4 linked regions of the Pelodiscus sinensis genome follow. The protein of the gene in region 3 purifies or fractionates together with the protein of the main gene of each other region. This does not show direct contact. Links are inferred from orthologs where the notes say so. Each region holds a gene or a part of one and is shown on either strand. Other genes may lie near its edges.

The links. Proteins that work in one complex are often made in the same cells at the same time.
Region 1: the proteins of PPP1CA (region 3) and PPP1R9A purify together in Homo sapiens (affinity purification with mass spectrometry; 3 studies listed by BioGRID and IntAct, counting the BioPlex papers as one, with this or other methods). This does not show direct contact. The link is inferred for Pelodiscus sinensis from reciprocal best matches to the Homo sapiens genes PPP1CA and PPP1R9A.
Region 2: the proteins of PPP1CA (region 3) and PPP1R37 purify together in Homo sapiens (affinity purification with mass spectrometry; 3 studies listed by BioGRID and IntAct, counting the BioPlex papers as one, with this or other methods). This does not show direct contact. The link is inferred for Pelodiscus sinensis from reciprocal best matches to the Homo sapiens genes PPP1CA and PPP1R37.
Region 4: the proteins of PPP1CA (region 3) and PPP1R3D purify together in Homo sapiens (affinity purification with mass spectrometry; 3 studies listed by BioGRID and IntAct, counting the BioPlex papers as one, with this or other methods). This does not show direct contact. The link is inferred for Pelodiscus sinensis from reciprocal best matches to the Homo sapiens genes PPP1CA and PPP1R3D.

The regions. Positions count from the first base shown.
Region 1 is NC_134712.1:211,751,481-211,758,376, forward strand, and holds the start of PPP1R9A (neurabin-1), read right to left. Parts: upstream 3,008-6,896; 5' UTR 2,538-3,007; exon of another isoform or gene 2,273-2,537; intron 2,154-2,272; exon of another isoform or gene 1,925-2,153; intron 1,860-1,924; exon of another isoform or gene 1,715-1,859; intron 1,675-1,714; exon of another isoform or gene 1,624-1,674; intron 1-1,623. UniProt on the Homo sapiens protein: Binds to actin filaments (F-actin) and shows cross-linking activity. Binds along the sides of the F-actin. May be involved in neurite formation. Inhibits protein phosphatase 1-alpha activity.
Region 2 is NW_027465849.1:7,336,489-7,344,415, forward strand, and holds the start of PPP1R37 (protein phosphatase 1 regulatory subunit 37), read right to left. Parts: upstream 3,008-7,927; 5' UTR 2,394-3,007; coding exon 1,832-2,393; intron 1-1,831. UniProt on the Homo sapiens protein: Inhibits phosphatase activity of protein phosphatase 1 (PP1) complexes.
Region 3 is NC_134714.1:127,062,094-127,069,704, reverse strand, and holds the start of PPP1CA (serine/threonine-protein phosphatase PP1-alpha catalytic subunit), read right to left. Parts: upstream 3,003-7,611; 5' UTR 2,846-3,002; coding exon 2,791-2,845; intron 621-2,790; coding exon 489-620; intron 274-488; coding exon 43-273; intron 1-42. Other genes in the region: TBC1D10C (carabin), read left to right, coding at 4,460-4,645, 6,036-6,051, 6,569-6,773. UniProt on the Homo sapiens protein: Protein phosphatase that associates with over 200 regulatory proteins to form highly specific holoenzymes which dephosphorylate hundreds of biological targets.
Region 4 is NC_134728.1:11,448,739-11,456,075, reverse strand, and holds PPP1R3D (protein phosphatase 1 regulatory subunit 3D), read right to left. Parts: upstream 3,008-7,337; 5' UTR 1,733-3,007; coding exon 809-1,732; 3' UTR 310-808; downstream 1-309. UniProt on the Homo sapiens protein: Seems to act as a glycogen-targeting subunit for PP1. PP1 is essential for cell division, and participates in the regulation of glycogen metabolism, muscle contractility and protein synthesis.

The sequences.
Region 1 (6,896 bases), on a different chromosome or scaffold from region 3:
AAAAGTACAACATTTAAAGTCAAGTTATGCATTTGTATTTTTTCTCATCTAATCAATAACTTCAATTTTAATAAAAAAAATACAAAAAAACCCACAGGGATTCATCCCTCACACAGCATCAATACCAAAATACACATATATGTATTAAAATTCTAAAGCAGACCCAATTTGTTAAAGATTCAACAGTTAGTGTGAAAAAGTTAGCATGCTCACATAACATTTCTTTCCAAGTACCAATTATTAACATGCCACTATGAAACATGGCAATTTTGTGCTGTTCATATTTATGCTACAAACATATTACAACACAAATAAATTTGTTGCAGTGAAACACAAAATTATAAAGAATAAAATTACAAGGAAAATTATGTTACCAAAGTTTCATTGCAGTCAATTTTTTTTTCACTGAAGATGATAAGGGACAAAATAAAAAGAAATATATAGAAAAAGCTATTTGTATCTGGGTATGAAATATTTCATGCAAACTTGATGATTGTGCTTCCCTGAGCCACTAACATTTGCAGTTCCACCTAGGTTTTCACTGAACTACTCACCAATATGCTTTGAATAGTGTTTCTATTCAATGAATAATCATTCAACAATGAAACAACAGCGCTAAAGAATTTTTAAAAATTGCACCAAAAGGTATAGTTCTGTGTATAAAATGGTGAAGTGAAATTTAATAAGACTTGCCCCTTTCCACTTCTTGTATTATTTTAGAATGACAAAGAACATAGAAACATCTAATGTATTGTAAAACATGGAGATACAGGCTAAAGCGTTAAGTCTTCCCGGTCACATCTGCATGCCCAAAGTCACTAAGCTAAAAAGACTGTTTTAAATATAATAAACTGAACGGAAAGTGATATGATGCACCACAATGAATTTGGAGATTCTCAGTTTGGGCAGGAGATGCTCTGAGTGGTGTTTAAAATAAAGAATGAGACTGGGTCTGATTCCAGCCTGAACATCAGACCCAAGGACTGCAGGGGAACAACATATGACTAACAGAGAGCAAAATCTCACTCATTAGTGTCCTTCTGGTTCCTTTTTTCTCTCTAAGGCTATCATTTACTGCTGCAAGCTCCAAATGCAATGCATGAGTGATGTTGTGCTCCTTACCCAGAGGGAGGAATGCTATACCGCTGCAGTCACACCTAGCACTTTAGAGCAAGAAGATTATGGATCAAGTATCTTACACATCTATTCACCAATCTTTAAGCCTAAGAGGTCATTTTAGACTAAGAAATATTACGTGGCTATTAAGGCACAATCCCCTCATTACCTTACTGATAGAGAACACACTTAAATCTCCAAAGCAAAACCTTCAAACTCAAGCCCAGCCAGCTACCCATGCACAAGCAGCAGTGGGTTGCACACAGCTAAGGCTCTAAAGGCTGTGCAGGGGTACTGAGAGCCACTGAACCAAACTGTAAATCCTGTATATGATGGAAATCGCTTTAATCTCGGGGGTGCTGCAGCACCCCCAATAGTCCTAGTTCCAGCACCTATGCTGCGAATCATTAATTTTGTAAAAAAAAATCCCAATTATAGAAACGCGGGTATAATTAGCAGGGTTTTTTCTTAGCCACTGATCATTTCTCTTTCCCTCCCCCTTTACAGATTCCAGCCGATGTTTGCAATGATCATAATAAAAAGAAAAGGAAAGGCTAAGGTAAGGTAAAAGGATCCTGTCTGGCGACACCGAGCAAACCTGTCTGAAAGGGGAAGTGCTGCGAAGAACCCGTTTCTCCGGACCGAAAGGCGAGCGGATCCCATCCGCGCCGGCTCAGGAGCCACCTTGCGCACGGGCAGCAGCAGCCCTGGCCGACCCAGGGGCAAAGCTCAGTGTCCCGGCGCGGGGGGAAGCAAACAAAAGCGGCACCCCGATCCGCCGCTCCCCAGTGCGCGCCGGACCCCTTACCCGGGCGAGGAGCTGCACGCCGCGCCGGGCTGGCTGCGCGCTCAGAGCCGCAGTTCTCCCAGCCCCCGGCTCCGAGCCGCCCGCGCCAAGGCAGAGCGCGGCTGCCGCCCCCAGCCTGTCAGCGGGCAGCAGCCTCCGACTCCGCTACTCAGCGCCATTGCAGGCAGCGGCGGCTCGGGCGCCGACACGCTCCGCGCACACGGAGCTGGGGGGAGGAAGCTCCCGCGCCCCGCCGCAGCCCCCCCCCCCCCGGCTCCCTGGGGGCCGGGCTTGCGCAACGTCTGCCCCGCGGGGGTGCGCTGCCACCAACCGTCGCCGAGGGCGGGCGGCGGGTGACAGGTGCCTCACCTCCGCGCCGCGCCGCAATGGTTTGTTCCGCCGGGGAGGGGACGAGCCACGCTCCAGCTGCAGTCCGGCCGCACGGCCAGTCCGCGGGGAGGGGCGAGGGCGGGCGCCGGTGACCCTGTTGCAGCCCCCTGGGCGCCTCCAGTAGCCCGGCCGGGCGCGCCGCCTCCGGCCACGAGCTCACCAGCCCCGTCCCCTCCCCCAGGTCTGCGCGCAGGTCACTTCCTCCCGCCGCGCGCGGCCGTTGAGCCGTAGCCATGGCACTCACCCCCGGGCCGGGCCGGTCGTTACACCGGCCACAGGACAGCCGCGCGCCAACCTGCTCCCTGGAGACCTGAGCCACTGGCGCGGGGACTGAGGCGGTTTCCTGAGCGCGGGCCGTGCACCTGCTCTAGGCTCCTGTTGACTCTCCCGCTGGCTCTGCGACCCCGCTGGAAAGGGGGCCCGGCAGCCGCAGGTGAGACTGATGCTCTGACTCCGGCCTCACCCCTGCGGGGGCGCAGACACGGGGCATCCTCCGCAGGCCAGACCGACGCCAGCGGACCTCTCCTGAGTCAGGCCAGCTCTGCACTTTAAGTTTCACTTGGACAGGAAGCTCCAGGAGAGAGTTTATTGCAGGATCAGGCCTATGAGGATAGGCATGAGGTGGACTCTCCTCCGCCCTCCGTTAATGTTTTTAAGTGGCCTTTGAACAACGTGCAAGCAAGTCACAAATGAAAACAAAACAATCTGGAACTACAATATATGTATTTTTGCTGGGTTAAGCAGATAGGTCTACACTGGTTCCTTTTTTTTAAGCACACAAACAGCCCAGATACTGCTGACATTTCTTTGTTAACTAGGTAAATATTGCTAGTGGGCCAACATTCCCCACAATCATTTCCAGGTTTTGCATTGATGATAAGAAAACTTAATTCCAGAGAAGGGAATCCAGCAATATCTCCCAAGTAGTTTGGGAAACTGGCACTCCAGAAGATGATTTGTAAATCATACAGCAATTCACAAAGAGTTTACTAGAAGATTTACCTGGCATTCCCCAGATCTTTCAGGGCATGGTGTTGAGGGTGCAGGAGTCAGAGCAGGGCCGGTGGCCACCCACTGCCCTGTGCACCCTACACACCAACATGTCTCTGGGACCAAGCTGGCATATTCCTGGGGCTGGGTTGGCGGGGGCCATACACCCTGCCCTTTGATGTGTTTTCAGGGCTGGGCTTTCTCCACCTGTCTAGCAAAGCACACAATCCAGTGTCACATTCAAGGGCAAAGGGATGAGTTTGAGGCAGGGAGTCACTTACCAGTCCGTGGGCATCCAATGGCTTAGGCAAGGGAAGGCGCTGCCTTCCCAAACCACCAACCTGGCCATGCATGCCCACATTCCACTTCCAGAGCGTCTACTGTAGGCATTCTGGGGGCAGAGTGTTATTGCCCTCAGCACCAGGCCAGGAAGGCTGGAACCACTTCCTCCTCTCCCCTAATGCTCCAGGAGCTGGACTGCACACACACTCCCCTTCCCTCTCCACACCTTCCGACCCACCTTGGTGCTCCGGAGTGACTGTGGAGCGCTCAGTGCACTGCCCCACCTCCTCCCCTTCTCAGGGGGTGGGGCCTCAGCAGAGGGGGTGGGACTGGGGACGGGCCAACAGTCCGATGGCCGGCAAAATGGCAAGTCCCAGAACTAATTTGCCACTCTCTTGGTGGTGTGGCTGCTCCCAGTAGTCACTCTACAATATTGCTGTCCCTCTGATCAGCCCTCTCCCTTTCTATGTTATGGAAAACCATCTCATTCCAGGCAGATCCTGGAATTCCTGCCACAACTAAACCCAGGGCTTGGGGCACATGGTAGAGATGTAAAAGGTTAACTGGTTACCAGGTAAGCATTAGCCTTACTGACATGTTTAGCTGGTGTCCGGGCTGTTCTCCACTCTGGACTCCGAGTGCAGAAGATAGGGGCCCACAAGAGACCTTAAATATCTTGCCTCCATAGACTCTGTTTACAAAAATGTCTTAGAGTCACAGATGCACTGGCTCTGAGAAAAAAAAAGCTGCCACCATCAAGTGATTTAAACCCTAAAAAAAGGGGAGGAACACTTGAATTCCTTCCCCTGGGATAGCTCAAGCTCTTTTACCATAAGAGAGCTTGAAAAAACAAAGAGAAAATAAACTGCAGTCTCTGGTAGCTGACCACTCAGTCTTAGGCAGGCAGACATACCCACACAGACAGACTTCCTGTTTCTTTCCAGGACACAAGACTCAAATCATCATCTTAAAAAAAGGTGATTTTATTAACAAAACAAAAAGATATACTTGATAAAGCATATTTAGTTGGTAGGTATTACAGGGTGTGTCAGGGATGCCCCGGCGCCCTGCACACTAGCTGTTGCCGTCCCCAGAGCTTTGAAGCGAGGCACTGCCCCAAGCCCAGCCCCGACTTTGCCGCGCATGCTTGGCAGCTGCCGGCAATGCCGGACAGCCCTTCCAATCCTGGTGAGAGTAAAGGGAAGGTGCCGAGCGTGAAGCTGCGGCCCTCTCTACATCAGACATGGCACCGGCGGGAAGTTCAAAAGGCACGCTGCCAGCATGAGAGAAAAGAGACTTGCCCATCTGGAGGGAGCAGCTGGAGGGCGCAGGAGGAAGGTAGGAAGTGGCCCAGGACGTGGCTTATGGATAGCCTGTGGGTTGCTGTGCTGCGGATCACAACCCCACCAACCAGACCAGGGACAAACCCTCTGGTTCTTAGGGCTTTGCGTCAGGGCTCGGAGAGAAGGCAGGCCCGAGCCCCCCTACCTTCCCTTGCTGCTCACCCTACCAATCTTGTACTGAACCTTAAGTACTGGTCACGCTGCAAAGGGTGCCGGCGGACTAGGAACACACGCTGCACTGGCGGTCCCCGCGAATGCAGAACTGATGTTGTTAAGGCCTGGTGGGCTGACCACTGGGGACGGGGGAAGGGTAGGACGGTACACCCCTCTCCAGCAGGATTACATGTGGTGGAGAATGTGGGTATTGTCCCATCCCTGAGGTGAGGGGTCAAGAAAAAAAAAGGAGTAGGTGTAGATAGATAGATGTGATAATAGATTGATGGTGGGGTGCGGGTGAGGGCCTGGGCGGCCCCAAGAGAGAGACTTATTACTTTATTTAGGAAGGTTTTTCAGAAAGCATTTGGGGTCTCAGATGGAGACCCCCAAGCTGCTAGAATGGATAGCGGAATATAAGAGACAGCACCAACAACAACAGACACAGCTGAATCAAAAACAGTAAAGGCAACTTTTACGGAAGTTATACGAGCAACAACAGATCCAGCAGGAGAGATGGCCGCAGCGGCACCCGGCCGTAGAACCCTTGGCACCTGGACCAGCAGGGCCAATGGAGGCTGGCCCTGGCAGCGGGTACCAGTTACCAATACGTTTAATGAAGATGGGACCAACAGACAATCCAGAGGCGTATATGGTGATCTTTGAGAGAGTTGCAACCACTGCCTGGGTGGCCAGAAGATCAGTGGGCTACCCTCCTGGCCCCCTATCTGTCAAGGCCAGTGCAGTTGGCCTACCGCAGCCTCTCGGTACAGGAGGCCCTCCACTACCACAAGGTCAAAGAGGTGATCCTAGATCAGTTAGGGGTTATGCTGGAGACCTATTGACAGGTTCCTCCAGGAGCGCTACCACCCCCCCCCCCCGGGCCCGCCCGAGGGCCGTGGCCCAGAAGCTCCAGGAATCCAGCCGACGTTGGTTGGAGCCCGATCAGGAAACTGGGTTGCAGGTGGTGGAGATGGTCTTCCTAGAACAGTTTATACAGATCCTGCCCACTGAGAGGCAGCGATGGGTCCGGCGACACCACCTCACCTCCTCAACAAAGCTGTGGGCTTTATGGCAGACTACCTGGCAGCAGAGGGAATAGAGGAGAAGGGTACATCAAAAAGAGAGACGCCGGCCACACAGAGGGGGATAGCTGGGCTCCAAAAGGGCGGAGAGAATCAAGAGAAAGCCACCACAGGGCTGGGGGGCAGTGGGGGACAACGATTGGCTCCCGTGTGGCCTAGCCCTTCAAGAGAGGACCCCGCAAGAGTGCAAGCTGGCCCCGAAGAGGGTAACCCTACTCTACTGAGTAAGGCAGAGCCCAAGAATATGTGTTTCGAATGCGGCCAAGAGGGCCATTTTAGATGGGACCGCCCCTTTGGGCAAGTGTTAACGGTAACCCAAAGGGAACAACCCATAGGAGGAGGGAGAATAATTGTAAGGGTCCGCGTGGAGGGCACGCCAGTGGAGGCCCTTGTGGATACGGGCTGTAGCCAAACCGTCGTGAGGGCATACTTAGTGAGGCACTTTTAGTCGGCAGGGCTCCCGCTGCGTATGCAATGTGTGCATGGGGAAGTGCCCCGACCGCATGGGTCCATCTGGCCGAAGGGAAGGAGGAAACAATTTGCTGAGTGGCCTTAGCCCCAAAGCTCACTTACCCAGTTATATTGGGGCGGGACTAGGGCAGATTTCAGCACATCTGGAGGGACTGGAACAGGAAGGAATTGGAGGGGCAGGCCTGCTTAAACCAAGTAGATTCCGTGGGGACCCAGGAGGACACAGAGAGGGGCTGTGGTGCTCAGCACAGAAGGGGAAGGATAGAAACCAGCCCGACG
Region 2 (7,927 bases), on a different chromosome or scaffold from region 3:
ACATTACGAAGTGGAGAGATCATTATTTCTTTACATTTCCAGGAGACCAAGTTTGCTTGTTTCCTAAGTCAGTCATGCAAAAATCAGAAGAAAAAAAAACAACAACAACATGAGGACTGCTAAACAAGGGTATTATTTTCAACAACTACAAAGTGTGAAAAAGTTGTGCTACTGACAAAGTTACATTTTTTCAAATCTTCAGTCCTACAGACACCTGGATCAGGAAAGTGCTTAAAACAGTGCAGAATGGCCATTTACATTAAAAGGCCGGCATATTATAACTAATAAATATCACAGAGGAGTAGCCATGTTGGCCTGAAATTAAAAAAAACTTCAACAACAAAGGTCCTGCAGCACCTTAGAGACTAATAATAATATATAAATATTATCATGAGCTTTCGTGGGCACAACACACCTCTTCAGACAACAAATATGGATCTGAAGACGTGAGCTGTGCCCACAAAAGCTCCGGACACTACTCATATATTTTGTTAGTCTCTAAGGTGCTACAGGACCATCATTGTATTTTAAGTTTTAATAAATATCAGTTTAGCTTTCAGTTCTTGTCACTGGATTCTAATTATTGATTGGGTAGCCTTGTTAGTCTTTATCTGCAAAAACAACGAGTCCTGTGGCACCTTAAAGACTAACTGATTTATTTGGACATAAGTTTTCATGGGTAAAGAACCACAAAGTCAAAGTAGGTCTTTGCCCACGAAAACTTATGGCCAAATAAATCTGTTAGTCTTTAATGTTAGTCAAAACTCCTCTTAACTATTGACTAATTTTTATAAAGATCCTGTGTACACTCAAAGGACCAAATGGGTAGTACAGCTGTATAAATCTGAAACAAACTGCTTAGTTCTGTTTAAAGCATATTTAAACATTTTATAGAAAAGTCATCTCCGAGTTTCCTGTTATACCACAAACATAAGCAATTTAGTGTTCTGCTTCATTTGGGAACAATTCCCTTTAACACGCGGACAGATCCTCACTGAAGTTAACAGGACTATTCAGAAGCTTCAGAGGGGTAGCCAAGTTAGTCTGTAACAGGAAAAACTTAAAAAAACAACAAGTAGACTAGTAGCACCTTAAAGACTAACAAAACATGTTGGTATCATGAGCGGTCATGGGCATAACCCACTTCTTTCTCCGGTCATCTGAAGAAGTGGGTTGCACCCAGGACAGCTCACGATCTCATCGACGTGTTTTGTTAGTCTTTAAGGTGCTTAGTGATAGAAATGTAGCCGTGTTAGTCTGGTGTAGCTGAAACAAAATACAGGACTATGTAGCACTTTAAAAACTAACAAGATGGTTTATTAACCATCTTGTTAGTCTTCAAAGTGCTACATAAAGTGCTACATAGTCCTGTATTTTGTTTAAGGTGCTTGTCTCTGTGTTGTGTTTTAAGGACGATTCGGGCAATATACCATTTGCACAAACCAGCCTGAGAAGAAGAGCGCGAGTGAATTGAAGACTAACAAGATGGTTAATAAACCATCTTGTTAGTCTTCAAAGTGCTACATAAAGTGCTACATAGCCCTGTATTTTGTTTAAGGTGCTTGTCTCTGTGTTGTGTTTTAAGGACGATTCGGGCAATATACCATTTGCACAAACCAGCCTGAGAAGAAGAGCGCGAGTGAATTGAAGACTAACAAGATGGTTAATAAACCATCTTGTTAGTCTTCAAAGTGCTACATAAAGTGCTACATAGCCCTGTATTTTGTTTAAGGTGCTTGTCTCTGTGTTGTGTTTTAAGGACGATTCAGGCAATATACCATTTGCACAAACCAGCCTGAGAAGAAGAGCGCGAGTGAATTGCAAAGTTTACCATGTCGCCAGGGATCCTTCGGTTCCACAGACCCAGACACGATGTCCTCGTCGGAAGGGAACGTGACCCGCTTTGCTCCATTCTTCAGCTTGCCCTCTTCACACGGCGGCTCCACGCGCGGGTCGCCCTGCGGGCTGGGGGCGTCGGAGTCCAAAGCACCGCGGCGGGACGGCGGCGAGGCCGGCTTCCCCTGCGGCAGGGAGGTCTCCTCCTCCTCCTCCTCCGGGCATCCTCTGTCGGCGGCCGCGCTGCTCCGCTCCGCAGGCGGGCACGAGGCGGCTTCCTGCAGCGGGTGGCTCCCGGCCAGAGTCTCTCCCCGCTCCGACGGCTCCGCTCCCCGCTCCGAGCCCCCCCGGGCGGCAGGGGCGGCCCCTCCCCCCGCCGCCTGCGAGCTGGGCGGCGGCGGGGGGGGGCGCCCGGCCTCCTCCAGGCGAGCCAAGCCCGCCCCCCCCGGGGGCTGCAGCCCCGCTCGGCCGCCCCCCGCCTCCTCCGCGCCCGCGCAGGGCTCCGCGTCCGGCTGCCGGGGGGGGCGCGGCGCGCGCTCCATGGCTCCCCGCCTCATGGGGGCCCGGGCGGCATCACTCCGCGGGCGCCCCCGCCCCGCCCGCGCAGGCCCGGCTGAGGGCTGGGCCGCGAGGGGAGGCCGCGCGCCGGGGAACCGCCGCCGAGCGCAGCCGCGGTCTGGCGCGGCGGACCCGAGAGAAGCCGCCGCCCGCGGAGTGCGCCAGCGGCCTGCCCATCCGCGGCCCGCACTTTCGCCACGGGCGGCGGCCGCCCGCCCGGCGCGGGGCCCCGCCCGCCGCCGCGGCACCGAGGAGGGGAAGATCCCGCCGCCTGGCCTCGCGGGCAGGGCCGGCCGGCCGCCGCGGGACGCTCCGGTAAAGGGTCGTCTCCGTAGCGAATCAGCCGCTGCGAGTCGTCGCACGCACCCGGCGGCGGCCAGCCCGCCAGCACCGGGCGAAGGCGGCTGAGGCTTCGGCGCGGCACTTTCGGCGCGGCACTGGGGGCGCGTTCCGGGGGGGGAGGGGAAGCTGAGGATGCGCCCCCCTGAGGCGGCTGCCTACTCCCTAGGCGCCGGACGCGCGCTGGGGCTCGAAAACAAGGCGCGAATCTGCTGCTACTAATGAAAGAGGCCGCGGACAAATAGTCAGCTTCACGTGATGCGCCCCAAACAGCCTGGCCCGCCCCCGCCGGGCTGCTGGCCCTTTAAGTCCGCGGCGGGGGCGGGGCCGAGCGCAGGCTGCGTCGCCCTGGGACCCGCCACATGTCACGAGGCCCCGCCCCGGCGTCCCTAAGTGGGGGGCGTGTCCATGTGCGCGTGCGCGTCCCTGCTGCGCGTGTCTGGTGTGTGCAACCTGTGTGAGTGTGTGTCCATGTGTGCTGTGTGTAGCTAGTGTGTGTGTGTCTGTGTGTGTCCATGTGTGTTGTGTGTAGCCAGTGTGTGTGTGTCTGGTGTGGGTGTGTGTATCCATGTGTGTTGTGTGCATCTCTGGTGTGGGTGTGTGTATCCATGTGTGTTGTGTGCATCTCTGGTGTGGGTGTGGGTGTCCATGTGTGTTGTGTGTAGCCAGTGTGTGTGTGTCTGGTGTGGGTGTGTGTATCCATGTGTGTTGTGTGTAGCCAGTGTGTGTGTGTCTGGTGTGGGTGTGTGTGTCCATGTGTGTTGTGTGTAGCCAGTGTGTGTGTGTCTGGTGTGGGTGTGTGTATCCATGTGTGTTGTGTGCATCTCTGGTGTGGGTGTGTGTATCCATGTGTGTTGTGTGTAGCCGGTGTGTGGGTGTGTGGGTGTGTATCCATGTGTGTGGTGTGTAGCCAGTGTGTGGGTGTGGGTGTGTATCCATGTGTGTGGTGTGCATCTCTGGTGTGGGTGTGGTGTGTGTATCCATGTGTGTGGTGTGCATCTCTGGTGTGGGTGTGGTGTGTGTATCCATGTGTATTGTGTGTAGCCAGTGTGTGTCTGTGGTGTGGGTGTGTATATCCATGTGTGTTGTGTGTGTCTCTGGTGTGGGTGTGTGTATCCATGTGTGTGGTGTGTGTCTCTGGTGTGGGTGTGTGTATCCATGTGTGTGGTGTGCATCTCTGGTGTGGGTGGGTGTATATCCATGTGTGTTGTGTGCGTCTCTGGTGTGGGTGGGTGTATCCATGTGTGTTGTGTGTAGCCAGTGTGTGTGTGTCTGGTGTGTACAGCCTGTGTGTGTATCCGTGTGTGTTGTGTGCATCTCTGCTGTGTGTGGCCAGTGTGTGTGTCTCTGCTGCTGTGTGTGTCCACTTTACATTTCTATTGTGTATAGCCTCTGTGTGTGTGGCCAGTGTATGTCAATCTGTACATGGGGAGTAATTATTTTGAATGCCTTGGGGAGGAGCTATTTTGAAATAGTAGCAGTGGAACAAAATAGCTGTTTCGAAACAGGCGTTATTCCTCATGAAATGAGGTTTACAAAGGCCAAAATAAGCTGCCCATTATTTCGAATTTTTTTTTTGAAAGAACAGGTTAGCTGTGTAGACGCTCACATAGTTATTTCGGGATAACGGATGTTATTCCAAAATAATGCTGCTGTGTAGACGTAACTTTAGAGCAGAGGTTCTCAAACTTTCTGATACTGGACCCTCCTCTAAGTTGCTCGTGACCCACAGTTTGAGAAACGAGGTCTTAGAGCCTAAAAAAAACCCTCTATATAATGAGCAGTCAGGACAAGGCTACCCCCTTAGTCTTTAAACTCCAACACAATTAATATAAGAAAAGAGGCACCTACTGATGTCTATTTAGCTCTGCTCTTTGAACAGTGGGAGGAATTAGGTCAAACCAGTCCAGGCAGGGGAAACCACATCACCTCCTGACCAGGATAACCTTCTCTTACCCTCAGAGCTCTGACACTCAAGCCCCTACATTTGCAAGAATCTTTCTGCTGTGAGCTCTTTCATGTGGAACAATTTAGCACAGCCCTGCTTTTCTGGAGTCCTCCAAAACTAAAAACATCAGTAACCATATTTCAGCTCCCCCTGCATTTCGTATAAACATAGAATCATAGAATACTAGGACTGGAAGGGACCTCGAAAGGTCATTGAGTCCAGTCCCCTGCCCTCATGGCAGGACCCAGCACTGTCTAGACCATCCTTGATAGACATTTATCTAACCTACTCTTCAATATCTCCAGAGATGGAGATTCCACATCCTCCCTGGGCAATTTATTCCAGTGTTTGACCACCCTGACAGGTAGGAACTTTTTCCTAATGTCCAATCTAAACCTCCCTTCCTGCAGTTTAAGCCCATTGCTTCTTGTTCTATCCTCAGAGGCCAAGATGAACAAGTTTTCTCCCTCCTCCTTATGACACCCTTATGATACCTGGAAAACATAATGGCTGTGTTTAGACTAGCAAGACTAAACTTGCCAGCTATCTACACTGGCCGCTTGAATTTCCACAAGAACACTGACTTCCTACTGTCTGAAATCAGTGCTTCTTGCGGAAATACTATGCTGCTCCCGTTCGGGCAAAAGTCCTTTTGTGCAAAGCTTTTGACAGCTCAGATTTGCTTTGCGCAAAAAAGCCCCGATCGCGAAAATGGCAATCGGGGTTTTTTTGCAGAAAAGCATCCGTGCCGATCTAGATGCTCTTTTCCACAAATGTTTTTAACGGAAAACTTTTCCGTTAAAAGCATTTGCGGAAAATCATGCCAGTCTAGACGTAGCCAATGGGTGTTGGGCTACAAATGACGTGGATTACAATGAGCGCAATACCACTCCATCTGCTGACTAGCAAATCTAAGCAAAGCAGGAGCAAGCGGTGTTTACGTAATAAACACACCCAGGGTTTCTCTCCCATTCCAACTAGCTATAAGGGACACATTCCTTCAGATCCTGCTCACACTTGGTATTTTGCAATTTGAAAAATGCAGATCTCAATGCACCCCACAGAAAACCACCTATTTAGCACCTACACAGCCAGCTGGATCTTACCCATTCTTGGTCACAAGCCATCAATCAATAAACCATCAATAAAGAAAATAAACTTTCTAATCCAGCTGACCAGAAAAAAAAAAAACAGGCTTCTAGAGCAGCAGATGGAAAATATACGTTTGGCACAAGGATCCGGCTAGACCCAGCACGTTTTTGGCCTCAAATCACAACTTCATTCTGCTAAAGAGAAAGCAAGCTGCCATGACAAGCACCATCCAGAGCCAGTGAACCCTGGCCCCACGGCATTGCAGGACTCAGGCCAGGTCTACACTGGAGCCAGAAGGTCAGCTGCAGGTACGCGACTTCAGCTACATAAAATACGTGGCTGGAGTCGGCGTACCTTAATCCGAGCTTGGCTTCTTTTTCACAGTGGGAAGCCAATGGGACCAGATGCTCCCGTCGGCGTCCCTTCCTCCTCCAGACTGTGCGGAGCACCGGCGCCAACTGGAGCTGCCTTCAGCATTCGATTTTGCAGGCCTTAACGTGGGCGTGTGCATTGTGGGACAAACTGGAACATTTTTATAGCGGGTCTCCTGAAAGCCAGTGGGGCCCACCCCAGACTTTTTACCTCACCCCACCCCCTTACTCCTGTCTGTGTCCTCCACCTCCCAGAGTTGGGGCCAGGAGCAGGCCTGTAGCTCTTGGGGGGTGGGGGATGCAGAGGGGTAAAGGGACCATGTCTTGGGCCATATGTGCGAGGCCAGGAACAGAGCCTCAGTGCAGGGCCAGGAGCAGCCAGGACCCCACAGACAGAGTCCAGGAGCTGTGAACAGAGCTGTGGGTGCAAGTCCAGTTGCAGCCAGGGTCCACATGTGGGGCTGGGAACAGTGCTCCAGGAAGGAGAGTCCTGCAGCCAGGCTCCCAGGTGCACCAGGGACTCTGAGCACAGCCTGGTGGCCAGGACCCTGCACAAAAACTGGGGGAGCTGCAGCACCCCCATCAGTACCCACAATTCCCACACCTAGGGGACAGACTTGGTCTGACACAGGAGTTAAATCACATCCCTTCTCTCACACTTTCCTCCTTGTAAATTCAATACAGGGAGTTGCAAAAGAGGGAAGGAGTATTAAAAGCCACCCTCTTCTGGGGGTTTCCGGTACTACGGCCCTAAAAAATGGGGTTATTTACCTAAAGAATGGGGTTATGTACCCTACTGTGCAGCCTGTTTTGTCTTTCCTCCCCAGCGTCTCTTCCTATATGCTCAGCACAACCCAGGTTTGCACTTAGCCTGTCATAAAGTGACGTGACGTGACAGCCCTATACTACTGTTCCTGGAATCGCTCTTTGCTGAATGCTGCTCCCAGGCGGCCCTTGTGTCTCCCAACAGGCCACACGCCTAGTCGCATGCTCCCTGTATCCCTCTTTCCTTTCACCTGGGACCGCAGCTAAACCTGTCACCGCTGAGCCTCCACTGTCATAAAGGGCCAGCGTGGTCACCAGCTGCCAACCCACCGGGGTTTGCGCCCATGTACGGGGCCCGTCCAGCCCTGAGGCACAGGGGCACTGGGTTCCCAGCCCCACGTTGGAGGCTGCTCCGCAGCAAATCACAGAACAGGCAGCTGCCCCATCAGTGCTGCCGATCCCTCCCCACACTGGGCAGCCCTGCGCACCATAGGGCTGGGACATGGCCGCCAGTACGGCTGTTCCCCTCGCTTTGCTCCCACCGTTCTCCACTCATCCGGGGAGGGAGGCCCAGCCTCAGCTCCAGTCATCAGGAGCCAACCCCAACCCCCATCTCGTTCCATCTTGAGAAGCACGAGCGGGGCCAACTGTGCGTAACCCATGTGACGTCAGTGCCCCCTAGGTTTGTCTTCCTTTCCTCCCTTTGGGTTGAGAAGCAGCACAGCCTAGTGGGTAGAGCTCTGGACTGCAGCCCTGGGGTGTGTTCCCTGCCCTGCCACTCACTGGACTGTGAATTTGGCAAAACCTTTCCCCTCCCCTTGCCTCAGTCTCCCTCCCTCATCTGGATAGATAGTGAGCTCTTCCGGGCGGGGGCTGTCTGTTGCACGTTCTGTGCGCACAGAGCCTAGCACATTAAGGCCTGTGAATGAAATCAGACAGATCAGTGGACCCCAACCTTTTGGGGCTGCCGGGCACCCGGGGGCGGGGCCACCCATACGCTGTGTGCCTGGAGCTGGCG
Region 3 (7,611 bases):
GGGGAGCAGGGTGGTGGGGACTCGGGCAGGGGCCACACTCACACTCATCGTAGAAGCCGTAGATACGGTTGATGCTGGCGCACTCGTGGTTGCCACGCAGCAGGAAGAAGTTCTCAGGGTACTTGATCTTGTAGGCCAACAGGAGGCAGATGGTCTCCAATGACTGCTTGCCCCGGTCCACATAGTCGCCCAGAAAGAGGTAGTTGCTCTCAGGCGGAAAGCCCCCATATTCAAAGAGCCGCAGCAGGTCATAGTACTGCCCGTGGATGTCACCTGGGGAGGGCAGGAAGTGAGATAAGGATCACCCTCCAAATCCCCCCCCCCGAAGAGTCACCTCTGGAAAGGGCCAGCAAGGGGGCCACAGTTCCACCCCTGACCTCCCACCCAGCCCGGTCTGAGCCAGGGACTCCACCCACAGCAAACAAGGGGTGCAGGGAATCCCCACATCATCTCTCCCACGGCAGCTCCCGCCCCCCAGCCTCACTCACCACAGATCTTGAGCGGCGCTTCCAGCTCCAGCAGGATGGGCTGGCTCAGGAAGATCTCCCGCGACTTGAGGCAGAGGCCCCGGATCTCGTTCTCCGTCAGCTGCACATTTTTGCCAGGCCGCGAGCCTTGCACTGCAACATAGAACAGTGGGTGTCTGCTGGGTCGAGGTCCTAGCTCCTGCACTGCTCAGAGACACTCCCACAGATCCCAGGGCCACTCCACAGATGCTGGAATGATCCAGGGGGCCACAGGGCTGAACCCGGAGGTTCTTCTGGACAGGCCCGTGTACCACATCCCAGCCAAAGGCCAAGGGTTTGCCCTGCCCCTTCCACTTGAAGGCCAGGTTAACAGGTGACTCAAGACCAACAAAGGGGGAAGGAAGAAGGCACCACAAGAGTCCTGGCCTAGCCTGGGTCCTCACTGATCTGTGCAGGCAGCTCAAGGAGGCGCAGTTAGGCTGGGATCACACAGGCCCCTTGGCCAGAACCCAGATGGGCTCTTCAAACACTAGGACAGCTGGGAGGCCCTGAGCCCCTCTCCCTCGTCCTGCTGAGTCAGCCAGTGCCCCCCACCATGGAGTAGGATCGGAGTTGGTGCATGCTAGAGGGAAGCCTATTCCCTACTCCCTAGCTCTGGAGTGGCCAACCTGTGGCTCTTCTGAAGTTAATATGTGACTCCTTGCTCAGGGCACTGACTCCGGGGCTGCAGCTCCAGCTGCCAACCTTCCAGTGCTCAACTCGGCTCCACCTCCTCCTCCAAGTGTATCGCACCCTCCCTCCTTTCCTCCCCCACAGAGCCTCCTAAGTGCCTTGAAACAGCTGATTGCAGTGGGCAGGAGGTACGGGAAAGAAAAAGGAGGCGCTGACCGGTGGGGCATCTGGTGGGGAAAAGATAATGGAGACGGGAAAGGAGGCACCTGATGGGGACTGCTGACAAATTACTGTAGCTCTTGGGCAATGTACATAGGTAAACTGTGGCTCCTTCTCAGGCAGGCCACACTTGCCCTACTGGTCACACTGGAGTGCTTTCCGCCACCGCACACTGCAGAATACACAAGCTTCGAGAGGCAGGTGGCCCAGCAACTGATGCTGGACTGGCATGCTGGGTTCTTTCCCCACCTCTGAATTGCTCTAATCTTAGGCTGCTTCCGTCCCCCATGCCTCAGTTTCCTTACGTGCCTCGGTTTCCTTATATGACACAGGGAACCGATGCCTCTGCTTTGCAATATGTGATGGACAAGAATGGGAGATCACATAATCTGCCATTCAGCACCTGCTTCAGCCCAGGGTCTAGCCCCAGTGGTCTGCTGCCAATCTGGCCAACGTAGCTGGGGTCCCCTCCCCCCCCAACACCCCTAGTGTTAAAAGGATCAGGGAAGTAACAGCTAATCTCCCCCACACATTTTGTTGGCAGCACTGGAACAAAGAAGTTAGCACTAGGAAGACTGGTTAACACCTCCCCCCTCCCCGTTTCACATATACACAAGGGGGGGGGGGGGGCTGGCCAGGAAAGCAGGGGTTACTCAACATTCCCCGCACCTACTCTGGCCCCAGGACTGCTCAGGCCGGTCCCAGCCCTCCAGAACTCAGGCTCCTCCCCACACTCCCCCAGGGCTTTCAGGAAGAAGGAAACTGACGTCAGACACAGCAGGGCTCTGGGGGCGGGTGGGGTGAAGGGAGCTCGATTCCCCCCCGCTCCCCATAACTAATGTTGCTGGGGGCCGGCCTGGGGGATAGTCCCCATTCTTTGCGTGGAATTAAGTGGCGGGGAGGGTGAAAGGCCAGGAACACCCCACTCCCTGCCCCCCTCTTCCTCCACCAACAGCCACACTCTTCCCCCCATCTGAGATCAAGCCCCCACCGCGCCTCCAGGAATAGGAGTCTCTAGCTCCTCCATGGGGCCTATGGGCAGCGCGCCCCACACGGGGCTGCAGCGAAACGGACCCGTCAGGGGCCCGGGGCAGCGTGGAAGAGACCACTGGAGCTCCGCGACCCCCACGCCGCCTTCCCGCGTAGGGGCCAGCCCCGGCCCTCCTTGCACCCACCCACTCCCTGCGCCCAGCCCCGCGTGGGGCCGCCCTCCGCCCGGGATCGCCCAGCCGGCAGGAAGAGCCGAGCGAAAACAAAGGAGCGAACGCGGAACTTCCCGGAGCGCCCGGCCCGGGTCTTTGCAGCCCCGGGGCTTCCCGCAGCCCTTCCCGGCCGGCGGCCCAGCCTATGCACGGGGGGGGGGGGGGGCAGGATGCAACCGGGCAGCCCCCCCCCCCACGCCCGCAGCCCCCTGCTCGGGCCTCCCCCGCACCTTCCAGCAGCCGCCCAATGATGGAGTCCAAGTTGAGTTTCTCGCCCTCCGACATGGCGGCTTTGCGGAGGGGCAGGCCCGGACGCCTGGCTTCCTGCTGCTGCACTCGCCCCCCACCCGCCTGGCTGCGCTAGGTCCGGGCCGACTGGAGGCTGCTGGGGCCGAGAACCTGCCGGCTCTGCCGCTTTCAGCCAGGAGGCGGGTCGGGAGCGCGCGGCCTGCCGCCCCACCTAGAGGAGCGGAGGGATCATTGGCAGCCACCCGCCCAGAGCCCCGGGGGAGGGGCGCCGTTCCGCAGCCCGTCCCCTGCCAGCAGGGGGCGCTGGCTGCCGGGCGCTCCCAGCGACACCAGCCGGACCTCGGCCAGCACAGGGAGTTATGGGGAGCGGGGTGGGAGCGCAGGCTGCAGGTGGAGCACGGAGCTAGTCTAGACCCGGCCTCTGCCGGCAGGGGGCGCTGTGGGGGTGGGGCACTAGCTGTAAGGAGCTCCCATCTACACTAGCCCGGCTTCTGCCAGCAGGGGGTGCTGGGGGGTGGGGGCACTATCTGTAAGGAGCTCCCAGCTACACTAGCCCGGCTTCTGCCAGCAGGGGGTGCTGGGGGGTGCGGGCACTATCTGTAAGGAGCTCCCAGCTACACTAGCCCGGCTTCTGCCAGCAGGGGGTGCTGTGGGGTGGGGGCACTAGCTGTAAGGAGCTCCCAGCTACACTAGCCCGGCCTCTGCCAGCAGGGGGTGCTGGGGGGTGGGGGCACTAGCTGTAAGGAGATCCCAGCTACACTAGCCCGGCCTCTGCCAGCAGGGGGTGCTGTGGGGTGGGGGCACTAGCTGTAAGGAGCTCCCAGCTACACTAGCCCGGCCTCTGCCAGCAGGGGGTGCTGGGGGGTGGGGGCACTATCTGTAAGGAGCTCCCAGCTACACTAGCCTGGCCTCTGCCAGCAGGGGGTGCTGTGGGGTGGGGGCACTAGCTGTAAGGAGCTCCCAGCTACATTAGCCCGGCCTCTGCCAGCAGGGGGTGCTGGGGGGTGCGGGCACTATCTGTAAGGAGCTCCCAGCTACACTAGCCCGGCCTCTGCCAGCAGGGGGTGCTGGGGGGTGGGGGCACTAGCTGTAAGGAGATCCCAGCTACACTAGCCCGGCCTTTGCCAGCAGGGGGCGCTGTGGAGGTGGGGGCACTAGCTGTAAGGAGATCCCAGCTACACTAGCCCGGCCTCTGCCAGCAGGGGGCACTGTGGAGGTGGGGCACTAGCTGTAAGGAGATCCCAGCTACACTAGCCCGGCCTCTGCCAGCAGGGGGCGCTGTGGGGGTGCGGGCACTAGCTGTAAGGTGCTCCCAGCTACACTAGCCCGGCCTCTGCCAGCAGGGGGCACTGTGGGGAGGGATGCTCACTCTGAGAGCAGGGGGCGCTGTGGGGAGCAGAGTGGAGGCACTGGCTGGGGGCGAGAGGGAGTGCCTGGCTACTCCAGTCCCAGCCTCTGCCAGCAGGGGGCACTGTGGGGAGGGATGCTCACTCTGAGAGCAGGGGGCGCTGTGGGGAGCAGAGTGGAGGCACTGGCTAGGAGCGAGGGGGAGTGCCTGGCTACTCCAGTCCCAGCCTCTGCCAGCAGGGGTTGCTACAGGAAACAGGGTGGCAGCACTGCCCCACATACACTTCCCCCTCCCCCACCCGCATGCTGCTTGCTGCCTCAGCCCTGTCAGGTGCAAAAGGAAATGACAGTGCGGAGGAAATAAGCTTGCAGCACCCACGGGGAGTGCACCAGACTGAGGTGCTGCCACGGGACAGATGCAGGGCCACACCGCCTGGGCACTGCTCCGTTGGGAATGGCCCAGGGCATGAGCTAAGGGGACTGGACACAGTGGAGGTGAGTGGGAACGGGGGAGCAGCTCAGTGGGAGGGCTCCTGGAGGGGCAATAGGAGGCGATAGGAACCTCCCTGAGCTGTACTGGGGCCAGGCTTGGAGGCAGGAGAGAAAAGAGAAGGGGGGGGCAGGGTTCTGTGTGAGTGTGGGAGAGGGATGTTACACGTGTTCCCTTTCCAGTACACATAGGGCTAGAGGGGTTGGGCCTCAGGACCAGGGGATGGGAATGCAGGGGCTCTGGGCTGGAACCAAGGATGGAAGGGTCGGGGTTCAGAGCCCTGGGATGGGCAGATGCTGGGGGGGAGGGGTCCTGGGCTAGGTAGACCCTGGGGAAGATGGGAGCACAGGGCCCTCCACTGGAACTGAGGGGAGATGAGGGTGAGGGGCCCTGAGCTGAGCAGACCCTAGAGGGGAAGAGTCCTGGGTTGAGCAGATCCTGGAGGGGATGTGGGTACGTGGCAGATCCTGGGGGAGATGGAGGTGTGGGCCTGGGTAGGGCAGACCCTGGAGAGGATGTGGGTACGTGGCAGATCCTGGGGGAGATGGAGGTGTGGGGCCTGGGTAGGGCAGATCCTGGAGGGGATGTTGGTGTATGGCAGATCCCGGGGGAGATGGAGGTGTGGGGGCTGGGTAGGGCAGATCCTGGAGGGGATGTGGGTGTGTGGCAGATCCTGGGGGAGATGGAGGTGTGGGGACTGGGTAGGGCAGATCCTGGAGGGGATGTTGGTGTGTGGCAGATCCTGGGGGAGATGGAGGTGTGGGGCCTGGGTAGGGCAGATCCTGGAGGGGATGTGGGTGTGTGGCAGATCCTGGGGGAGATGGAGGTGTGGGGCTGGGTAGGGCAGATCCTGGAGGGGATGTGGGTGTGTGGCAGATCCTGGGGGAGATGGAGGTGTGGGGCTGGGTAGGGCAGATCCTGGAGGGGATGTGGGTGTGTGGCAGATCCTGGGGGAGATGGAGGTGTGGGGCTGGGTAGGGCAGATCCTGGAGGGGATGTGGGTGTGTGGCAGATCCTGGGGGAGATGGAGGTGTGGGGCTGGGTAGGACAGATCCTGGAGGGGATGTGGGTGTGTGGCAGATCCTGGGGGAGATGGAGGTGTGGGGCTGGGTAGGGCAGATCCTGGAGGGGATGTGGGTGTGTGGCAGACCCGCATTCCCACTCACCTCCACTGTGTCCAGTCCCCTTAGCTCATGCCCTGGGCCATTCCCAATGGAGGAGATGGGGATGTGGGACTCTGGGCAGTGCAGATCCGGCGGGGATGGTAGGATGGGGCTTTGGGTGGGGCAGTCCATAGGGGTGATGGGGATGCGGAGCCCTGGGCTGGGCAGACCCTGGAGGAGATGGAGGAGCAGGTCCTGAATGGAGCAAACCTTGAGAGGGGTGGAGGTGCAGGGACATGGGGGTGAGGGGACCCTGGGCTGGGAAGACCTTGGGAGGGATGAGAGTGCAGGCTGCTGGGCTGAACACACCCTGAGGGAGATGGAGGTTCAGGGCCTGGGCTTGGCAGACCTGGATGGGGGTGCGGGCCCCTGGGCTGGGCAGACCCTGAGGGAGATGGGGGTTCAGTGGCTGGGCTGGGAAGACCCAGAGGGAGATGGGGGTGCAGGCCCCTGGGCTGGGAAGACTCTGAGTAGGATGGGGGTTCAGTGGCTGGGCTGGGCAGACCCTGAGGGGGATAGGGTGAGGGACCCTGAGCTGGGCAGAACCTGGCAGAGATGGAGCAGGGACTGTGTGATGCAGACCCTGGGAGGAATGAGTAAGAGGGGCCTTGGCTGGGCAGCCCCTGGAGAGGACGGGGAGAGGGGCCTGGCAAGTTATACTTCAGGGTTGTCTCCTGGGATGTTCGTTTCTGGGCTGGCCTTGCTGGGCACTCACTGCGGGCCCCTGTCCCTGCCCTCCCTCCCCTGCAGGGTGCTGAGATCACGGCATGGCATCCGGCCCTATGTCCTCCGCTGACTCCTCCAGCCTCAGCACCCTGGAGGAGCTGTCCGATGCCTTTGACTCCACCCTGGGGCGCCATGATGACTCCAGCTCGTTGGGCTCCGACTCTGAGCTGAATGGGGCTGCCCCCTATCGCCAGACGGACCGTTACGGCTTCCTAGGGGGCAACAGTGCCCAGGATGGGTGAGTGGGACACATCTGGGCATCGGAGCACTAAAAGGGGGGCATTGTGGGGGCGGGAGGTGCTGTGAAGGGCATTGCTGGGGTGGCCCAGATGCCGGGTTCTATTCCAAGTCCTGATTTCTTGCACCCTGGAGCCATTGTGGGTACTGGACTGACACCCCCATTGCCAGCCCCGCAGAACAATCTCTTGGGTTCTGTGCCAGAATCCAGCATCCCCCCCTTCTGTGCACTGAGGCTATGGGGTGTTCAAGCCCAAAGAATGGACATACGCGGAGAAACTGAGCCCCTGGCCTGGGGATGAGTCAGGCCACACCCCAAGCTAAGAGTAGCAGCTTGTGGGTGTTGCCCTGCCCCCTGCCTCTTTCCGAGTCTTGCTCCTCCTAGGGGTGGGGCAAAAGCAGGGAAGGGGTGGAGCTTGGGGAATGAGGGTCTTGGGCACTGAGGAGGGGGACAGTTTGCAATTCTTGCATCATGCCTCTGTGCACCAGTCCCCTCTTCCTAACAGCCTGATGTAAGAGAGCCCTGGCCCAGGGGACCTGCCAGTGGTGCCCCCGAGGGTCCCTACACCAAGCTGCTAATGAGCCAGTTCTGCCAGGAAGGCACAATGGCCCAGGGCACCCCGGCTCACGCTCTGTTCCTTCCCCCAGCTGGGAATCACAAGGAGGTGCAGTGTCCCAAGGCTGGATTCAGGCAGAGTCGGCTTCAGCAGCCTCATGGCTGGCTAAGTTGGGGTTGCTGGAGCTTTTGGGGTGGGGTTCGGAAGAGTCTGCACCAATAGTCTCCAACCTTTTGAAGCCCAAGATCGCTTTTTGAATTTAAGTGCAATCCAAGATCTACC
Region 4 (7,337 bases), on a different chromosome or scaffold from region 3:
TTTGGTGTAATGTAGTGAATATAGTTATGCAAGAAAGAAGCGAGTTTCTATTTTAAAACTTTATCCAAAGAACTGCTTGAACCTCGCCTTGAAAATATCAGGCTTTTCCCCAACCAGGCCAGCCTTATGGCTTAAGAAACACAATTTAGCAAGAATCACTCTGACTCTATCAATGGCAAGCACAGTAAATAAAAAAATGAGAGAGAGAGAGAGAAAGAGAGAATCAGGTTAAAACCTTATTTACGGGGACACCATCAGGTAGCTTCTGATCAATAGTTAGGTTTTGTTAAATAATACTGAAACCAAATATCAATAGAAATATGCATGTATTTAAACAAGAATACAAATAATTTGCATATAAACATTGTCCTGCAGTGTTTGCAGCATTGGAATTATACTCAATAACCAGTGTAATACTACAAACGACACTATAACAAAAAAGTAAAGCTAACCTATTTTCCATTAAGTGCAAAAAAATTAAACAGTATAAAACAGTGAAAAATAAGTTGGAATTTTGAACTTTTTTGTTTAAGTATTATTAGTAACAAACAATTTTCTTTTTGAGATATTAACCTGACAATGCCCCTTTGAACAAATTCTGCCCCCATTTGCATTCTATGAAATCTCCTTGAACCCCATGAAGTCTCATGGGATGTAAATCCATGCAGGTTTGGCTCCTTATCCTTTCCAAAGCTCTTTTGAAACATCATTGCCTCTTGAAGGATTTCTGGTGCCAGAGAAGCAGAGAGGAACGCCAAAGCAGCAACAGCAATTGCAGCCACTCTATATCCATATCTTGTCTTCTTCCTCAGATGAAATGGATCCAGCTCTTCTCACATTCCCTAGGCATTTTGAGAGGGTGGCTCCTGCAGGTGAAGCTGTAGTTCTTACCTTGGTTGTTATCCCAGTACTCCTGCCCATTGACTCGATATCTCACTGCAAACTGGACCACAGAGCACAACTGGAGGAGGAAAGGAGGCATGGGGAGAAAGAAAGTGAAGACATCAGCTTGACCTTTCCCATTCTTGTCAAGGTTGCTGCTGTGCCAATGAGCACACACTTCATGCACGCTCTTCCACTGGTTGAAGGTGTAGCGCACAGACACTTGCTTCTCAAAGGCCACATTGAGAACTTGGATAGTGCCACTGATCCCCAGGTCAGAGCTGGTTACACATTCTAGACATACCAGCTGCTGCTGAAGGCGGGTGGCGAAATCTGCACAGTCCACAGGCTGCTGGAAGTCAGGCACCAAGCACTGCATGATGATCTCCATATCTACCTGGCTACAGCAAAGATCTGAATTGATGGAAAGCCTGGAGAGGACATGCAAGGGGATGGATGGGTCCTCCCCAACCTGAAAGACTTTCACTTCAGCCAGCTCCAAGCCCAACGCATCAGCAAATCTCACCCGGTTTCTGCGGTTTCTGCTGCAACCAGGAACACGGCATTGCACTGCTGTACTCTTCAGCCTCTCAGGGGAGGTGGGCAAAGACCTGGCTCGTCGGCGTATGATAGGCCGCAAGTGTGGGTCACAACTGTTAGTAGTGCTGCTCTGAAGGAAACCTGGTTGTGGCTCGCTCTTCAATGGGGTGCTCAGACTAGTACTGCTTCTAGGTGGTTGGTGGTGCTCCTGCCACCACCGGCCTGGACCCAGTGCTTCTTCAGCCTTCAGCATGTTCTGATGAAGATCAGAGAGGTAACTTGAGCTCTTCCGAGGAGCACGTAGCTCCATTTTTCCTGAAGGTAAAGTAATAAGGTTCACGCCACAGCTACTGAGAACTGCCTCGTTTGTGATAAGACTCCAGAATGAAAGCAGTCACGGACACAGTGACAGAGTTGTGAGGCTATTGCACTAGATGGTGCAAGAATTGGTTCACTAGCGTTGGCTGAAGCAGTACAAGCTGTTGCAATAGATGACAGAAATCTGGAAGCTACCGTGCTAGCCAGAAGCAAAGTTGAGGCTAATGTGCTGGATGGAAAGAAATACGTTGTCTCTCTGGGTGGAGAATTCAAGGATAACAGGCTATTAAGCTGAATGGTGGAGCACTCAAAGCTGTTGCACTGGTTTAGGAGGGATTCAAGGTTATCACACTAGATGCTGGTAGATTTGATGCTGATGAAAGATGAAGACAGTTGTGCTAGATGCTGGCAGATTCAAGGCTGTTGCAGGGTTGAAGGCAGACTGCAAGCTGCTGTGATAGGCACTAAGGGGTCTGAGGCTGTTGCACAGACTCAAGGGGGATTGCAGGCTGTTCTGGTGGATTTTATAGGATCCAAGACTGACAAGAGCAGGGTTCCAGATTGTCACACTTGATGCTGGCTGATTTAGGACTTCTGCACAGACTGGATGGTCTTGCAGTCACTGGTCTGCAAAGAGGCAGAACGGAGGCTGTTGCATAGGCTGGAGGGTCTCAGGATGCCTGCTGGAGGAATCGATGCTGTAGCACTGGTTTGAGAACGAATTCAGGTCTGAAGGGGCGCTGCAGCCCACCTCCCACTCCGTCCCTCCCACTGGTCTGCAACGGCGCCCCTCCGCTCCAGGGTGGTAGCCAGAATTCAGCCCCACCTCCCTGCAGCCCCGTCCCAGGGCGCTCAGGGCTGCAGCCGCCCTGCGCATCAGCTGACAGATTGTTGCAAACCAAACCACCCTTGCAGCACTTTGCAACAGGGGCACGCGAGCCACGCCCCCTCCGGCGTTCCAACTCTGCGGCAACGCCCACCCCGTCTCCCTCAGCGTGGTAGCGGGCGCCTCCTCCGCTCTCGCGCACTTTCCTTCCCGGCCAGCCATACGACAAGGCGCTCTTCCCCGCCCCCCCTCCCGCGCGCATGCGCATTAGCACAAACGAAGCCGCGTGGGTTGCCCTCAGGCCTTGGCGGAATCTGCTGGCGAGGAGCTGTGAGGGAAGCGGTGCGGGAGGGGGATGGAGCAACGCGGGCGAGTTCTCGTGCCGCCGCGCGCCAGATCGTTGTGAGGCGCCGGGCCCGCACTCCCTTGCCTGGATGTGGCTCCTGGCGGGCCCCGCCCACTTCCCTCAGTGGGGCTCGGACGGGCTGGAACGGTGCTGCGGCCGCCCGGCTCCGCTCTTGAGCGGACCCCCGCGGGCAGGGCGCGCGAGCACGTGGCGCCTTAGCTGGCTGGGGTGGGGGCCGCGGGGCAGAGGCAGCTGCGGGAGGGAGAGGGCGGACCACGGGGCCGGCCGGACGGGCAGAGCGGGAAGGGGGCCGGGAGCCTTTCTACTCGGGCACTTTTCAGTTGTCAGTGCAAATCTGAGTGTGTGTGTGTGTGGGGGGGGGGGGGTTCTAGGAAACTGTTGCGGGGAAGGGGGGGCGCAACTAAACGTGGCTGGATTTGTTGCCTAGTCACTTCCCCAGCTCTTATTTGATAAAAGATTCTCTTCCCCCCCCCCCCCCCAATCAAACATAATTTTCTGTTCGGTAAATTTTTTTTCTTCCCGGATTAGACTCATAGACTTTAAGGTCAGAAGGGACCATTATGATCATCTAGTCTGACCCCCTGCACAGTGCAGGCCACAGAATCTCACCCACCCCTCTTAGAATAATCCTCTCACCTATGTCTCAGATATTGAAGCCTTCAAATACTTTGAAGGCCCCAACATGCAGAGAGTCCTTCAGCTGTGATCTGTGCCCAATGCTACAGAGGAAGGCGAAAAACCTCCAGGGCCTCTGCCAATCTACCCTGGAGGAAAATTCCTTCCTGATCCCAAATATGGCGATCAGCTAAACCCTGAGCATGTGGGTAAGACTCACCAGCCAGACACCCAGAAAGTTCCCTATAATGGATTAGGTTTCCATACCTATTTAAAACGATTGGAGTGTTTTCTATGCTCCAGGGAGCCCAGCATGGCCACTGTCATCTTCCCCAGCACCATGTCCTGCTGGACCAGATGTGCTGATTTTCCCCAGCAAATGCACAGGGTTGGGAAAATAGCCCCCACAGCAGAGTAACAGACGCTGGTAATCGCAGTGGGAGGGCTCAAGTACAGGGACTTGACAGCATCCAGGACAGCCCTCAAAAGGGACCAAAACCCCTGATAAATCTATCTTACTTCATTTAAAAGTTTTACACCGAGAAAGCTCAGAGTTTTCTCTCTTTATCAATGAAAGAGATATGCACAGTAGGGATGTAATAGTGTAGTCGATTAACTGATAAGTTAATACTATAGATTACATGCATTTCCCTCCCACACTTGGCAGTAAATATTTTAGCTGGCTGGCAGCCTGGCTTGTGATGGGTCTGGGACCTACCCCCGCTGTAGCTCTGCATTTAAAATGCATTAGAAGCTGGGAGGGCAGGCAGTCCAGCTCAGTTTTAGCTTGCGCTGTGTCCCATGAAGGAAGCTGGGTTTTAAACTGGCTCCCCTCACAGACCAGCTCTTGCCTGGAACCCCATGCTGCTGCCTTTATATCAGAGGCAGCAGCGCGAAGCGGCAGGGGGCTCCTCTGGAGTGGGGCCGGAATGCACTGGCTGCCGGCCCCGGCCCCCAGAGATTGTAGAATAGTCAACTAACCAACCGGTAAGAATTCATGAGGTTACTTAACTATTCAATTAACCAATATTTAACATCCCTAATGCACAGTTATTGCTTCCCCCTAATTATTTACACTGGGTTTGATAAAGAAAAGTATAAAAAGGTGGATTTAAGTGATTAGAAGTGAAAACCAATCAAAGTTACTAATCTAAAATGAAACAATCCAACTAAGCCTAATAAACTAAGAGAGATTGTTACAGTTCATATTTCTCTGCCTAGCCTTTATTTCAGGTAAAATTCTTCAAATTGGAGCTGATCTTTTCTGTGGCCTGGATCTAACAAAAAAGAGGGAAGCTGGTATCCTACACAAAAAAAGGAGAGGACATAGTTTCAAAAGACGGTTAAAGACTCATTGGTTGCTTCCCATTCCTTAAATAGAATTTCCCCAGGGCAGGAAGTCGTTGTTCCATTCCTCGCATCCCAGTGGAAAAATACCAAGTACAGGATGGATTCCAGGAGTCGTTGAATACATGATTAACTGAAAAGCCCAGGCTTATTGGTTAATCTTATTGATTACACACATTCTTCCCCCCCCTTAGTTGCCTCTGTATCAGAGATAGCAAGGGGGAGGCGGGAGTTGGTGCTGGCTCCCCTGAGCTGATACAGAAGCAGCAGCGTGGAGTGCTAAGGGGCTTCCCCAAGAGTGGGGCCAAGAGTGCTCTGGCTGCCAGCCTTACCCCCAGGGACTATAGAATAGTTGTATATTAATGTGGCATGGTTACATGTTTTTGTAGGATCCACTACAGTTTAGGCTTAAAGGAAAAGCAAAAATCATTTACAGATCATTGGCCTGAGCAGCAGGCCATTAAGTTCCTTAAATGCCACTAATGACTTTCACTAGAAATGTTAGCTGCTTAAGCAGGTTTGCACTTCATATTTCTAACTTCACAAGAATGATACATGTACACAAATAGAATATATGTAGTTGGGATAACAGGCTTTGGAATTATAACTCACTTGTCCTGTTTTGCATAAAGCATATTTGAGTTATGCATATTCAAAAAATTTTCATAAAAATATGGAGGCTCAGAGTCAGAAGAAAATATTAGTCATTACGATCAAAGTCCTGTTGCCATTTTAGAACTGCATGATATCTTGTTCAATATAACTGGGTCACTTGCCATTAGTCTAGGTGGTATTATCTTGTCAACATCAAGCCAGCTTCAGTTACACCGTGTTAATATTGCAGCCCAAAAAGCCTCTCAGTACCATGTGTGCCTTTATAAATTACCATAAAACTTCTTTTCCCTTGTGGGTCGGCGTTTAATGGAGGATACCAAAATAAAGGAGCAAGTGAGACATGTATTTCTCCCCCTCCCCAATCTTACAGTGTCTTTCCCTGTAAGCCTGAATAGAGTCAGTTGAGGGACAAGCAAAAATCATGTGTCTGCGTGTATGTTACCCTTGTTTAGGTGCGGGGTCACGTTTCTCACAGCTAGAAGGTTAAATGCACACTGGGACTCAGAAGGGTGTGGAGGGAGGGAGCTGAATGCTAAACTGTCATATCTGTGGACTTAGAAGCCTTTATACTATTCATCAGTGTGTCAGAACCTCTGAAATAAACTGATGCAGTGTTAGTAAAGGGGTGTATAATGCTCCAGTCACAAGTATGTGTAGAAAGAATGGGAGAAAAGTGAATCTGAATGTCAAGTAAAAGACATGAAATGTTCAGTAAAAAGAAAAAATAAAACTTTCATCCATCTCTCAATACACCACAATAATAAGGGACGCTCAAGCAAAGTTAATTCTTTTCTGGTAATGTTCCTGTATGATACGGTTTGTATTTTTGAGTAAAGAACGATGGACAGTTCCTGAAATTTAAATTGCTACAATACAAATGGGCTGTGTCTAGACTGCAAGTTTTTCCGCAAAAGCAGCTGCCAGCTGTCTACACTGGCCGCTTGAATTTCCGCAAGAACACTGACGATCTCATGTAACAAATCAGTGCTTGCGGAAATACTATGCTGTTCCTGTTTGGGCAAAAGTCCTTTTGCGTAAAAGGGCCAGTGTAGACAGATTTGTTTTGCACAAAAAAGCCCCGATCGCGAAAATGGCGATCGGGGCTTTTTTGCGCAAAAGCACATCTAGATTGGCACAGACGCTTTTCCACAAAAAGTGCTTTTCTGTTAAAAGCATTTGCGGAAAATCATGCCAGTCTAGATGTAGCCATGCTGTTTGACTAGAGCAAAAAAAGTTGGCTTTTAACTTTTAGTATGAACATCCTCCAGTAGTAGTAGTAATAAATAATCATAAACTGGGTAACATCTTGATCTCCCTTCTCTTTTTGACAGAGGGTGCCTGCCAACCTATTTCTGACATATCTATTTAAATCTAATAGCTTAGCAGCAGGGTGGTGCCTTTGCAGCAGAACTATGGGAAGCAGGTGAGCTATGAGAAAAGATTGTGATCTAAAGACTGTTTCCCAATGGGGGTATTTGGTTTTTTTTCAAATACGGTAGACGTACTTGCTAAACAATCAATATTAGTTTGAATAATGATTCTGTAAATTAAATGTATTGAAAGTTTTCATATTTTTAAATCTTCCCCAATTTCATACAGAAATTGAATCCAAGACCTGGTAGTTCATATGTGAAGGGTGAGACCATGAGTTTCTCTCTTGGTGATGGTGGGGAGGACATGGCTGGTGTTTGGGCCAGCTTTGGCTTTAAATTGATTTTTACTCACTGATTTATTTTTTTCTTTTATTTATTTTACGTATTTGTATGGGCGGGTTTTGCCCTAGGGTTATCATGGTTGATAACGTAGTGGCAGCCACCTTTATCTACA